3 linked regions of the Danio rerio genome follow. The protein of the gene in region 3 purifies or fractionates together with the protein of the main gene of each other region. This does not show direct contact. Links are inferred from orthologs where the notes say so. Each region holds a gene or a part of one and is shown on either strand. Other genes may lie near its edges.

What was found.
Region 1: the proteins of rnf111 (region 3) and skila purify together in Homo sapiens (affinity purification with western blotting; 3 studies listed by BioGRID). This does not show direct contact. The link is inferred for Danio rerio from reciprocal best matches to the Homo sapiens genes RNF111 and SKIL.
Region 2: the proteins of rnf111 (region 3) and skib purify together in Homo sapiens (affinity purification with western blotting, with the first as the bait; 3 studies listed by BioGRID). This does not show direct contact. The link is inferred for Danio rerio from reciprocal best matches to the Homo sapiens genes RNF111 and SKI.

The regions. Positions count from the first base shown.
Region 1 is NC_133177.1:40,324,465-40,328,679, forward strand, and holds the start of skila (ski-like protein), read right to left. Parts: upstream 2,888-4,215; 5' UTR 2,833-2,887; intron 1,165-2,832; 5' UTR 1,012-1,164; coding exon 1-1,011. UniProt on the Homo sapiens protein: May have regulatory role in cell division or differentiation in response to extracellular signals.
Region 2 is NC_133186.1:27,858,055-27,861,708, forward strand, and holds part of skib (v-ski avian sarcoma viral oncogene homolog b), read right to left. Parts: intron 2,632-3,654; coding exon 2,360-2,631; intron 1,335-2,359; coding exon 1,104-1,334; intron 1-1,103. UniProt on the Homo sapiens protein: May play a role in terminal differentiation of skeletal muscle cells but not in the determination of cells to the myogenic lineage. Functions as a repressor of TGF-beta signaling.
Region 3 is NC_133182.1:30,527,671-30,531,709, forward strand, and holds the end of rnf111 (E3 ubiquitin-protein ligase Arkadia), read right to left. Parts: intron 2,331-4,039; coding exon 2,213-2,330; 3' UTR 617-2,212; downstream 1-616. UniProt on the Homo sapiens protein: E3 ubiquitin-protein ligase. Required for mesoderm patterning during embryonic development. Acts as an enhancer of the transcriptional responses of the SMAD2/SMAD3 effectors, which are activated downstream of BMP.

The sequences.
Region 1 (4,215 bases), on a different chromosome or scaffold from region 3:
GTAGCAGGGCCACTTGGCTGAATCGAAGCCCCAGTGGCAGGTCCTCTTGTCAGGGGACTTGTGTGAGTGCATTACAAAGTTCTGTGGGGAAAACAGCAGCTGGCACTCCATGCACTGAATGCAAGGGGCATCCGGCTGGACGTAGAAATGGGGCACAAACAGGCCTTGGCACTTGCCAAGACACTGGTGCTCCACCTGGAAACTGATGTCACTCTCCTTCAGCAGGCCTTGGCCTGGCAGTTTGCTGTTGGGATCTGCTGAGATGGTGGCACCTGGGCGAAGCAGGGCATTGCAGAGCCGTTGGGCATCAGTTAGGGTAATCAGGCCACAGGAAGGTGCATTAAAAGGCAAAATGCCCAGCACCTTGAGAATGTGCAGCTGCTCCGCATGACACCGCGAACAGTAAACGTAAAGTTCATCACAAACAGCATTGATCTGCTGCAGAGAGAAGTCTCGGAGCACTGAATTGAGTACCTGGGGCAGACAAAGACGCTTCTCACCACCTACAACAAAGCAGGAGATGGACTCTCCTTCAAGGAGAGAATGGGTAAGCTCTGTGGAGCTGTCACAGGGCACTAAGAGTGGGCCTCCTCCGAGGACTGGGGGAGACGGTAGGGGAGCCATGCCAGCAGGAGAGGCGCACTCCTGTGCCGATTTTGCTGAGAAAGCAGCAGGACCTCCCAGGGAGCTCTGGCTGCTCAGCGTGAACTGTGCCAGCGTGTGCTTGAGGCCGGCGCTCAGATCTAAAGCCTTGGATGCTCCGACAATGTGGAATTCTCTTTCCTCCATGTCCATTTCTGAGCTGGTGTGCTCCTCACGCTCCTTCTTGACTTTTAGGGGTTTGGGGATGCTCTCCAGGCTGCGACGTTTCAAATGCATCTCTGCCATTACCCGTTTTTTAATGGGAGCATCTTCCAGTCGCTCCCTGTACAGCCGCTTCATGTTGCCTTTAAATGAGGTCAGGTCTTTAAAAGGGGTTTTCAGACCTGTCTGAGGGCTGGCCATATCCATACACAGATAACTGGTCTTCCTTGGGTGGAAAATAATCGTCAGACACGACACCTTTGGGTTGGTCCTACTTTGCTCGCTGTGTTAAAGGTTGCAAATCCTTTTACGTCTAGCTACATGCATGATGCTGACAGAATTAAATGTTCAACGAGCTTCCTGTGAATGAAAAGGTAAAAAAGGCTTGTATTAAAATACAATTCTTACTAAATCAAACACAAATCAGAATGTGAAGCCACGTGAATGCGGATGAATGGAAAATGCTGCCAGAGCAATTAAAAGGCATCCAGAAGCGTTTTAGCGTTGGGCACAGTGCTAAACTAGACGACAGAAACATTTTCACCTCATCAGGATAATCTAATTTGAAAGCAATCGATCTAAGGCCAGTTTCTCGCTGGTTTAGTGCGCTGTTTTTCTCTACTGACAACATGCCGAATCCGTCAAGGCGGTAAATGAGTCAGTGCACTAATAACGTCGGTTTAACACAGATAACCAACAGCATCAGTAACTAACAGCGAGCAGCCATTTAGTCCTGTCCAACCACAGCAGGCTTGAAACAAAATGTATTAACGACACATAAACACCACTTCTGCCACGCAAGATTAAATGTATATATTATATTGTAAATAAAAAAGGATGTTTTCATCGTACAAGCAAAAGCCTGAACTGGCGGAATTTCCGAGCACGAATATGAAGGCAAAATGAAAGCTCAGCCTCAAATTCAGCGCATGCCAGTGGGGTTTCGGCAAAATCCATCAGAAAAACGCGTTTCATTTCAGAATCACAACATGCGTTTCTGTTCTACAAACGGAATGCATTCATTTTGGCGAAAATTAAAGGGCCACCAAAGCATAATAATCTCAAGTTCCTCGAAATAAACGCTTGGTTTTGCTTTAACGTTACCAGATTTGCGGGTCAACTCAAACAGACTGACCCTGACCGCAGACGTCGTTTCATTTCCTCATAAAATAACCAGTTTCCAGAAACACTGGCAAAACGCGGTCTATTTTTAACCCTGAATGACAGCGTCTCTCTTTTTACCCCCGCAAGGACACCGCGGCTCTGTCCCCGCCTCTACCCGTCTCTCCCCTCTCCTTCTCCGGGCACAGCTGCGCTGAGCACCCGCGGTGTGACAATCACCATCCCCGCAATCGGGAAAACCCTTCACATGAAAAGAAAACCTGATCACGGCTATTACACATTAAATATCCCAACACGACATCGAAAGCTTCTATTTTAAATCCATTCCCATGTCTTCATTCGGCAGTGAAACGTTTGCCAACCATTCAGCCAGTCTGACACCTGACCACCCCCTCAAAATACGTTAAACAGCGATATCCCCAAAACTGTTTTTGAAAAACAGAAATACAGACATTTGTATTAAACACAATATAGATCATATCTAAGATTTAAATCAATCACACAAATACTCCCAGCTCGATCACCAATATGACCAGGTTAAACACATAATATACACGTATATTATACCCTTTTAAATGGCACATCAAAACACACATCTCAAAAATTCACACGCCACCTATAAGCAAATTATTATTGCTCATTGACAGCACCAAAACCGGTTTAACATCTGAAAAACTGGCTCGTTCGCACAGACAGCTTTAGCAGTGCGGCTAGAATATTTAGACCCTTTAGCACGCGCTAACCGAGCTAACGCTACAAATCCCCGTTCAGAGACAGAAATAAACGTCACTTAACTATTACAAACCTTCAAAACGGTTTTAAAAAACACAGCGACAAACTGCTGATCCACCAGAGTAATGGACGCAGTGTATAGGCGAATCAGATGTGGGTTTTAAAGGGACTTGCCTCAGGATGAACGATCTGCTCTGCTGTCTCTCTCGGTCTCTCCTCTAGTCTGTCTGAGCGTCAACAACACGCGCACACACTCAAAGCCTTCAGACAGATCGCGCGTCACACACAGCGAGAGCGCGCACTGGCGGAGCGGATGATGTTGCGCGGGCGTGTCTATGTATGTGTGTCTGTCTGTCTGTCTGTCCTGTCTGTCTGCAGCGCGCCGCCAGATTCTCATGAACTTTGCAAGAATTTACAGGTTACAGTAAATGTAATGTAATGCATGTAGTACATGTTCAGTTGTCATCTGTGGTCTACTAGTAACTTGCGCTTGCACACATGACTAACCAAGGGACATTTCTTTAGAAATAAGGGAGTTTTGCTGTCTACTTAGGGACAGTCATAGTGGAGCATGCTGAATTTGAATCACTTTATGGTAAGAGAAAGGAGTAAATGGAAATTAAATAGTAACTTTAGCCACATCCCCATTCACGCTATGACTTAGCATGATTTTTGAGGAATAATGAATGGCAGCATGAGCTGAGGTCTGTCAATGTTTCACAGATAATGACTCATCTGAAATGGGCTGTTTAAATGAAATACATATCATGCAAAACATCACAGTTTTTGTACTTGGTAAAGACATAAAACATTATTCTGTTTTACAATTATAGTGTTGAGGGCGTAACACATTACAAGTAACGAGTTACGTAATAATATTACTTTTCTAAGTAATGAGTAATGCATATTTTTAAAAATTAAGTAATACTATTTGAGTGACTTTTTAGCTTAATTAATTAGCTTATAAAAACAAATGGCTGAAATAAAATAAATGTCAGATTGAATCCCACACTCAATGATAGAATGCAGGAAAAGACAGAAACCAACATGGCAGAGCCTTATATTTCTGCAATGGGAGTTTTCTTATTATTCTGAACGAATCACAGAAAAGGAAAACAGGATTATAGTCTCAATGGATAGTGATTTTACTTTATTAATAGCACAAAAAAGACAAAAGTAGTAGTCACATTGCATTAGACTTTCATTATTACCTGTATAGGCATATATCCTTGAGGGTCAGGAAGTTCTCAAAAGATAAGATTATCCTACATTATTATTTTATGATGTGTTTTTAAAAGGTAAATGAAGGTGTAGGTTATTTAGTGCGATGTTTATTGCAGAGCTGCTTTATTTTAAAAAAGAAGGAAAAAATCCTGCAAGATCTGAAACAGATCAAGTCTCAGCCAGGTCAGAAAAGGTAATGCAAAAGTAACTCAAAAGTAGCGTGACACATTACTTATTATAAAAAGTAACTTAGTAATGTAACTTACTTTTTTGAGGAGTAACTAAAAATTGTAATGCATTACTTTGAAAAATAACTTTCCCCAATAACAATTT
Region 2 (3,654 bases), on a different chromosome or scaffold from region 3:
ATTTTATAATTAATTGTTGCTTTGATTCTTGGATTACAACTGATTATCTTAAAATTAGTTTTCAATTTATGTTCAATAAAAAACAAACAGACCAAACTACATTGTTAGCATGCCTGAAATCTGAAAGCTAATCTTCCTGCTTTTAAAATGAAACAAGTGTCAGCTTTTAAATTCTGTCTGTATTATAATATAATATAATATAATATAATATAATATAATATAATATAATATAATATAATATAATATAATATAATATAAATCCAGAGCCTTAATCTAACACTCAAGCTTTTTTGTTAAGTGTAAAACGATGTTACTTCTTTATTTGTACATTATTTTGAACAATACCTGGAAATATTATATGGTTAAGCATGATTATCATATTTGTTTAACAAAAAGTAATTACATTTATTAATGTATTAATCTCATTGTCATTTTTCCCCAGTATCTCATTGCAGAGTTTTTTTTTTAACCAAATATTATAATGTTTGAAAAGGAAAGAAAAAAAAACATAATTATTAGTCTCGTATTTTTACTGTTGGTGGTAAAATAAATAAATAATTAAATAATATTAATATTATTACATGAATTAATGTATTAAATACTTTAGTTGTACTTTTATGCACCTACAAGCAAATGCATTCTTAAATGCAATAAAAATGATACTAATATTAATAAACAACTATTGGCTGTTCTAACTTGTCACTTGTTTGAGATTTTTAAACTCAAAAATAAAATTACAGTTTTAATCATGTTTTAAATAAGAAAAGTTTAAAACACTTTCATTAAGATATACTAACTATTTTATAGCTTATGTATTTGATCCATTTAACATTCATCAGGCTATTATTATATTATATTATATTATATTATATTATATTATATTATATTATATTATATTATATTATATTATTAGTGATTGATACATTAGTGATGGCATTAGTTATTAGTGATCATTAGTGACATTATCTGTACTTGGTATTTATTCAAAAGCATCATTGAACTAAAAGCTTGTGATTAGAAATGTAATCCTCTTGTCATTATACTTTATTACATATAAAGTGAAGTTCAAATCGTTCAGATCAAATCCAGCAGCCGGATTTTACCTGTGAGGAGTATTTGGCCCTCAGACGTCCTGCTTCACAGTTCTTGTCACAGACACGGGTCCGTCTCTCTCTGTCCAAATCCCTCTTCAGCCTGTCGCAGGACTCGCTGGCGTCCCGCACCTTCTTCTCACACTCCACACGGAGGCGCTCGATCTCCTTCCTTAGGTTCCGCTTGGCTTCGATGGCCTCCCTCAGCCGGCCCTTCTTAGTCACCCTGACAAACTCCAGCTCCTGTCAGAGACAATCAGTGTTACTGATCATGGACAACATGTGAAGCCGACAAAGCAATCTGGAGACTACATTTACCAACTATTCTATTATTATTCATTCATTCATTTATTTTTCGGCTTGGTCCCTTTATTTATCAAGGGTCGTCACAGCAGAATGAACCGCCAACTTATCCAGCATATGTTTTATGCAGCGGATGCCCTTCCAGCTGCAACCCATCAGGGAAAAAAACAACCAATCACACTCTCTTTCACACTCATACACTATGGACAATTTAAAAAATTCAATTCACCTATACCACATGTCAATGGACTGTGGGGAACCCATGCGAACATGGGGAGAACATACAAACTCCACACAGAAATGCCAACTGTGACTCAGCTGGGGCTTGAACCAGCGATCTTCTTGCTGTGAGGTGACATCGCTACCCACTGCGCCACCTCTAATATTATTATATTATCTCTTTTAACTATTAACATCATTATTAAATTTATTTTTGTTACAGTATTTTAGATCAGTTTGTTTTGTATTAGCTTTATTTATTTTATTTATTTTTCAGTTTTAGCTTTAGTATTTCAGTACTTCATCAAACTGTATTTCAGTTAGTGGACTTATCAACATACAAAATATTCAAAAATATTGAAATAATAAATTAAATAAGTGAAGAAGTGTTATATTTGAAATATTCAGAATTGTATTATTACTAATGGTATTATTTAAAACAGATTTCATAGAATATGAAGTAATATTTTGGTTTGTATTAAAAACATATATAAAATACATATATATATACTACTTACCTAACAGTTTTAAAGGTTACATTCTTCACCATAAAAATATACATTCATAGAAAACATTACTATTTCTATATCTAGAAACTGATCTACTCTATTTTTAGTGTTTAAATAGATTTATATAAAATTTATTAATATAAATTGTATATAAATGTAACTTTTGTCAGGTTTATGTGTATTTCAACACATATGTATATTTATTATGTATATTGCTGAATATTTATCAGTCCACACCTGCTGCAGGCTGCGTTTGGCTTGCAGAGCGGCTGCCAGTTTCTCCTCCTGCTTCACCCTCATGCGGATGATCTCCTGCAGGAACTTCTCTCTGGCCTCTTTGGAGCTCAGGTCACTGCTGAGCGTCTGCTTGAGGAGCTCCAGCTCTGAACAATGACCCGCTGCCAGTCTCGCCCTCCCATCATGCACCTCTGCAGAGCTGTGAGGGCTGAGGGTCATCACCCCGACACCATTGGTGAAGGGAGGAGACATCAGCGAACGAGAGACAGCAACTGCAATCAGAAAATAGACAATACAGGTGATGAAGTAAAAGCACACTATTTATTTTACTCTAAATCGAAACAGTAGACATGATTCCATCACAAGTATGCACAAAACTTTTGCAAAAATTTTAGAATGTTGATAAAAACAATTGCGGAAATGACAGGATTTACATTACTGTAACTGTAAATGGGACAATTTGTTCCTCAGTGTAATAGATATACAACATTTTGGTCTTTCAGCAGTAAAAATTAAACCACACTGAACTGAAATAAAATGAACTGACACAGTTTTAGTTTACTAGAACTTCTATGTTAAGCTGCTTTGACACAATCTACATTTTAAAAGCGCTATATAAATAAAGATGAACTGAATATATACCACACCACACACTTACGACAAACATTTCACAACATTAATACTAAAAACAGCGTTATGTGTTATGTGACTAAAACTCATCGTTTCATAGTCATTCTAAAAGTTATGGTGATATATTTCATAAGTATGTTCACTATACTGCAGTCAACATACTTGACATTACTTTTGATAAAATGAGATACATGTGCACCAGACAAACAATATCACTCCACAGAGAAACTGAGGATTCTGAAGTTCTATACGAGCAGATCAACTATATTTGAGTTGTGCAAGTTTCTATAAATAAACAGATTGACTGTGTGATTTTATACCATGTGACCTCTAAAAGCAAAAAAAGTTTGTTGCAGCTTTGCAAAAAAATTTTTTATTAATTTGCCTCCAAATCACCTCATGAGAGCGAAAAATTTACAGTTTGCATTAGGCCAAATGTTTTTATTTTGCTCAATGCAGCCTTTTACAATTATACTAAACTCTTAACAAAATCAACATTGCTGCATTTACTAAATAAACAAATCAATATATTATATTTTATAGAAATAAACACAAAACAAAACAAAAAAACATACTTAAAAAAAGCTTCTCCTATTGAGGTAAGAGGTAATCTATTTAAAATTGACTCTTATAATCATACTGAACAAAGTTCTAGAAACATGTAT
Region 3 (4,039 bases):
TACACAGCTTAAAGTGACATTCAAAGGCTTAACTAGATAGGTTAGGGTAATAAAAATGTTATTGTATAAAAATGGTTTGTTCTGTAGACTATCAAAATTAAATATTCCTTAAAGGGGCTAGTAATGTAACGCTGCTTTTATTCTAGCCAAAATAAAACAAATAAGACATTCCCCAGAAGAAAAAATATTATCAGACATACAGTGAAAATGTACTTGCTCTGTTAAACATTATTTGGGAATGTATTTTCTATTCTTTTTTAGTACAGATCTAGTATTAATTATGCACAAAAACTCTGTTAAAACAACCACAACACTTTTCATTGTCTACATATACAGCAAAGGTATTCTCGTTCAGTAGGCTGCAAGTAATAATCAGTAGAAAACTTTTTCAATAACCAAGTAATAATGAATGTTGTTTAAATAGATTTTACATTAGCATCCGTAGGTGTGTTCTGAAAACTGCAGTCTAGAAAACTGCTCTACGTGAGAGAATGCAGGTTTGTATAGTACACAGATCATTTGCATGACGTTCATACAGTTTCTAGGTTACCTCAGTTAAATCATAATTACCTTGGTAAATCTGTGAAGCAGAAGAAGGCACAAGAATGGACACATAAAAGAGTTACCTAACTTTATTAATTTCATTATTTTAAAACTAATATAAATCCCATGGAATATCATCCTGGGGCCATTAAATCTATGAATGCATGGACGCCTGCCATTAAGTACTGCATTCCAACACTCCATTCAAAATTATTACAGTTTTTCCTCAAAATTCAGCAATCAGAGTGGAAATACACGGCCTCAGCACACTCTCATTATCACAGCACTCCTGTCTTTTGTCTCTCATGTGCAAGTATATGCAAGTTAGCTAGTTGAGATTAATATTAGTGTTAGGATTTCACAGCAGCAAAAGAAGAAGAAACAAAAATTAAGCAAAGAAAAGGGGAAAACAGTTTGCTGCACAGTCGCAAAAAACAAATGCATGTTAATGGCAATATCCGAGAGGAAATAATCAGCTAACAAGAGTCACTTTTTAGGTTGCTGAGAGAGAAAGAGAGTTAAATGAAGTAGGCTAGGAGACCCTGATGAAAAAATAAATAATCCCAGCACTCCATGTTTTGCGGTGGCTGTTTCTATAGGCCTGTCATTCTCACCGAACCAAGTCAACAAATCGAGCTCATCTGAGAAATTACACTCGATCGAGAATCCGACTTCATCATAGAATAAAAACAACAATCAATCAGAATACAGGTAGGTGACATTCATTTTTTTCTTTCTCTTTGAAAATACATCAGGTGAAGTGCGTTACATGTGACGGCAGATTGAGGTGCTGAGAGGGGACTGATGGAACGCAACCGTGCGAACGTTCAAGAGGTGAAGTGTGCAGTTGGTTCTCATCAGGGCTGGAGTTGAATTCATTTCTGTTCCGTTGGTTCAGGATCTAATGCATATAAATTTAAGAGTAAATGTACAAGGCGCATCTCTGAATGCTTTCACGCTAACTCCCTCAATCGAGTTAGCGCTGGTAAACGAGCCAAAGTGAAATGCAATGGACTCCAGCCCAGGTTCCCGTGTGGAGAGTGAATTGGCGTGAGGGTGAACACTGTTACAGCAGCTGATCTTCTTAACCATGATCTTGTTTCCTAATTAAGGAATGTCTTGATTCACTTTAAAAAAAAAAAATCAGATCACAATTGTCTAAAACATAAAACTAATCAATATACTGATCAATAAATTGAGTCCTGCAATGTTTTAAAATGGAGGTTGACATTCTATTCCAGTAAAGCAAGGCATCAGGTATGTAAAAATGCTTCTTTACCAGAGCAGCAATCCTCGCCTGCAAGTTCTCAGGCCGTATGAGGCCTAGTTCATTAAATGTGCAAAGAAATGCATTGCAAGGAACCATGCAAAAAAATAAAATACAATGACACTTATGAAAACAAAAGCTACATAAACCCTTTATAAATACAATACAATTCAAAACCCTTAATGAAGATGTTATTTCTAGCTGTACTGGTACTACATGATAGCTGGCACGCTAGGCTTGATGCTTTTGTGTGTGTCTGTGTGTGTGGATTGTTGTTTTGTTTCTTTTTTCCCATAGTTGCGCAGGTATTTCATGCCATCTTTGGTTGAATGCGTTACTGACGAAAAGGAAAAGGAAAACAACAAAATAATGTCCAACAAAAATGTAGCAAGAAAAATAGCATCAACTCTCTGAAGATAACTGAGCCTCGATGTCCACTCTGCAGATGGGGCATTTTTTATTAGTGAGGAGCCATTGGTCTACACACAGTTGATGGAAGAGGTGCATACATGGAAGGCGCCTGCAAAAGAAACAAACAGGACTTTCAGAATAGAGAACACCAATGTTCAAGGCAAAGAAATTTCATCTGTATAGATCAGGGGTGTTCAAACTTTTTTGTATGATGGCCCAAAACTCTAATATCATTGCAAACCATGGGCCAAAGGTAAACATACGAAACTATATTCCATTAAAATTGCAGTGGATAATTTCCTTGTTCATTTCCTAATATTTCAAAATAAATAGAAACCATTACTCTGAACAATATTAACTAATGCAGTATTACTTTTTAAACGACACCTTACTGCAATAAAACAATCACATTTATAAAAGTCAAGTTCAATGCTGAATATGATGGTCAAGCGAAATCTGACTTTGACTTAATTTGCTCACCAAAGTCGTTGCATTGTCGGGTGACAGTATTTAGATTTAAACAAAATCTGACCAATTTACACCCTTTTAATAATTGTTAATTTTAGCTAGCTCTTAAGAAAAAAACAAACAAAAGATTACATTAAATTTGAATTTACAATCTTGAAACCCTCCCATCATTGTCTCTCTTTTCTCAGATGGGATGCATACTAAATCAAAGGTTACCAGGGCCCTAGTTTGGTCATCTCTGGTATAGATAGAGGAAACCCCTGAATATGTAACAAGCGCAAAGTAATTCACACCTTTCAACTCCAGAGGGCAGCAGAGTACATAAACTATTCACTCATGAAAATCAATTGTTTATATTAAATGCATTAAATTACAGTCCCTCTGGGATCTTACAGGGACATTTTAGATTTAGGACCTACATGTCTGATTTAGGGATGGCTTTTCAGAAAACCTATGGCATTTTTTACTTCAATTCTCCCGTACTGCAGTGTACAATACAATTTTGTTTTTTTAACATATTTTATGTAATTTTCTTGTCTTAAGAAACATTTGACTCCAGGAGAGACTGGAAAAATGAACGAGACTGTCGTTTTGAATGAGCATCATGCCACCATAGTTTGTTGTGTGCTCTTGTGAATTTTATTTATTTTATTTGCCGTTAGAGCATATTTTTGAAATGTTATTTAGTCCTGTGATTCAAAACTTATAGCGTCATTACTCCAGACATTGTCCATCAGAAATCATCATAATGTGCTGATTCGTTGCTCTATTGTGATCATTTAATATTGGTGCTCAGTAAATTAAACAGATGTTTATAGAGTTTATATTATTTATAGATCACTAAAAAACAACACTTACAAACCGAACTAGCAGTGTGAGAAGCTCAAACCCCATTAAATCAGCCGACTCTTGCAGTTAGAGAAAATCAATAAACTGTTTTAAAAAGGGAAATTATTATTTAATACCTACAACCATTTATTATTTACAAAATTATATATTATTATATTCACATTTTTACTACTAAATCTCCACGCTTTTTCCAAGACTTTCAAGTCCATTTTCATGACCTAATGTTTCATGCACAGTCTACATATGCGTGGTAAAAGAAAAACAATGCATGTTCAAATTAATTACAGCATCTCGTAAAACACACAACAATCTATTTAGTTTCAATTTATATTTATATCTATGTAAAATTGATTTAGATAATGCTTACACCACACTAATAATGTGAGAGGATGTGATTGGCCAAGGACAGTAAAGAAGTAAATAACCTATATTCAAGTATAAAGAATCTGTTTTCCATGACTTTTCCAAAACTTTGTGGGTTTTTCTGTTTTTCCAAAACAT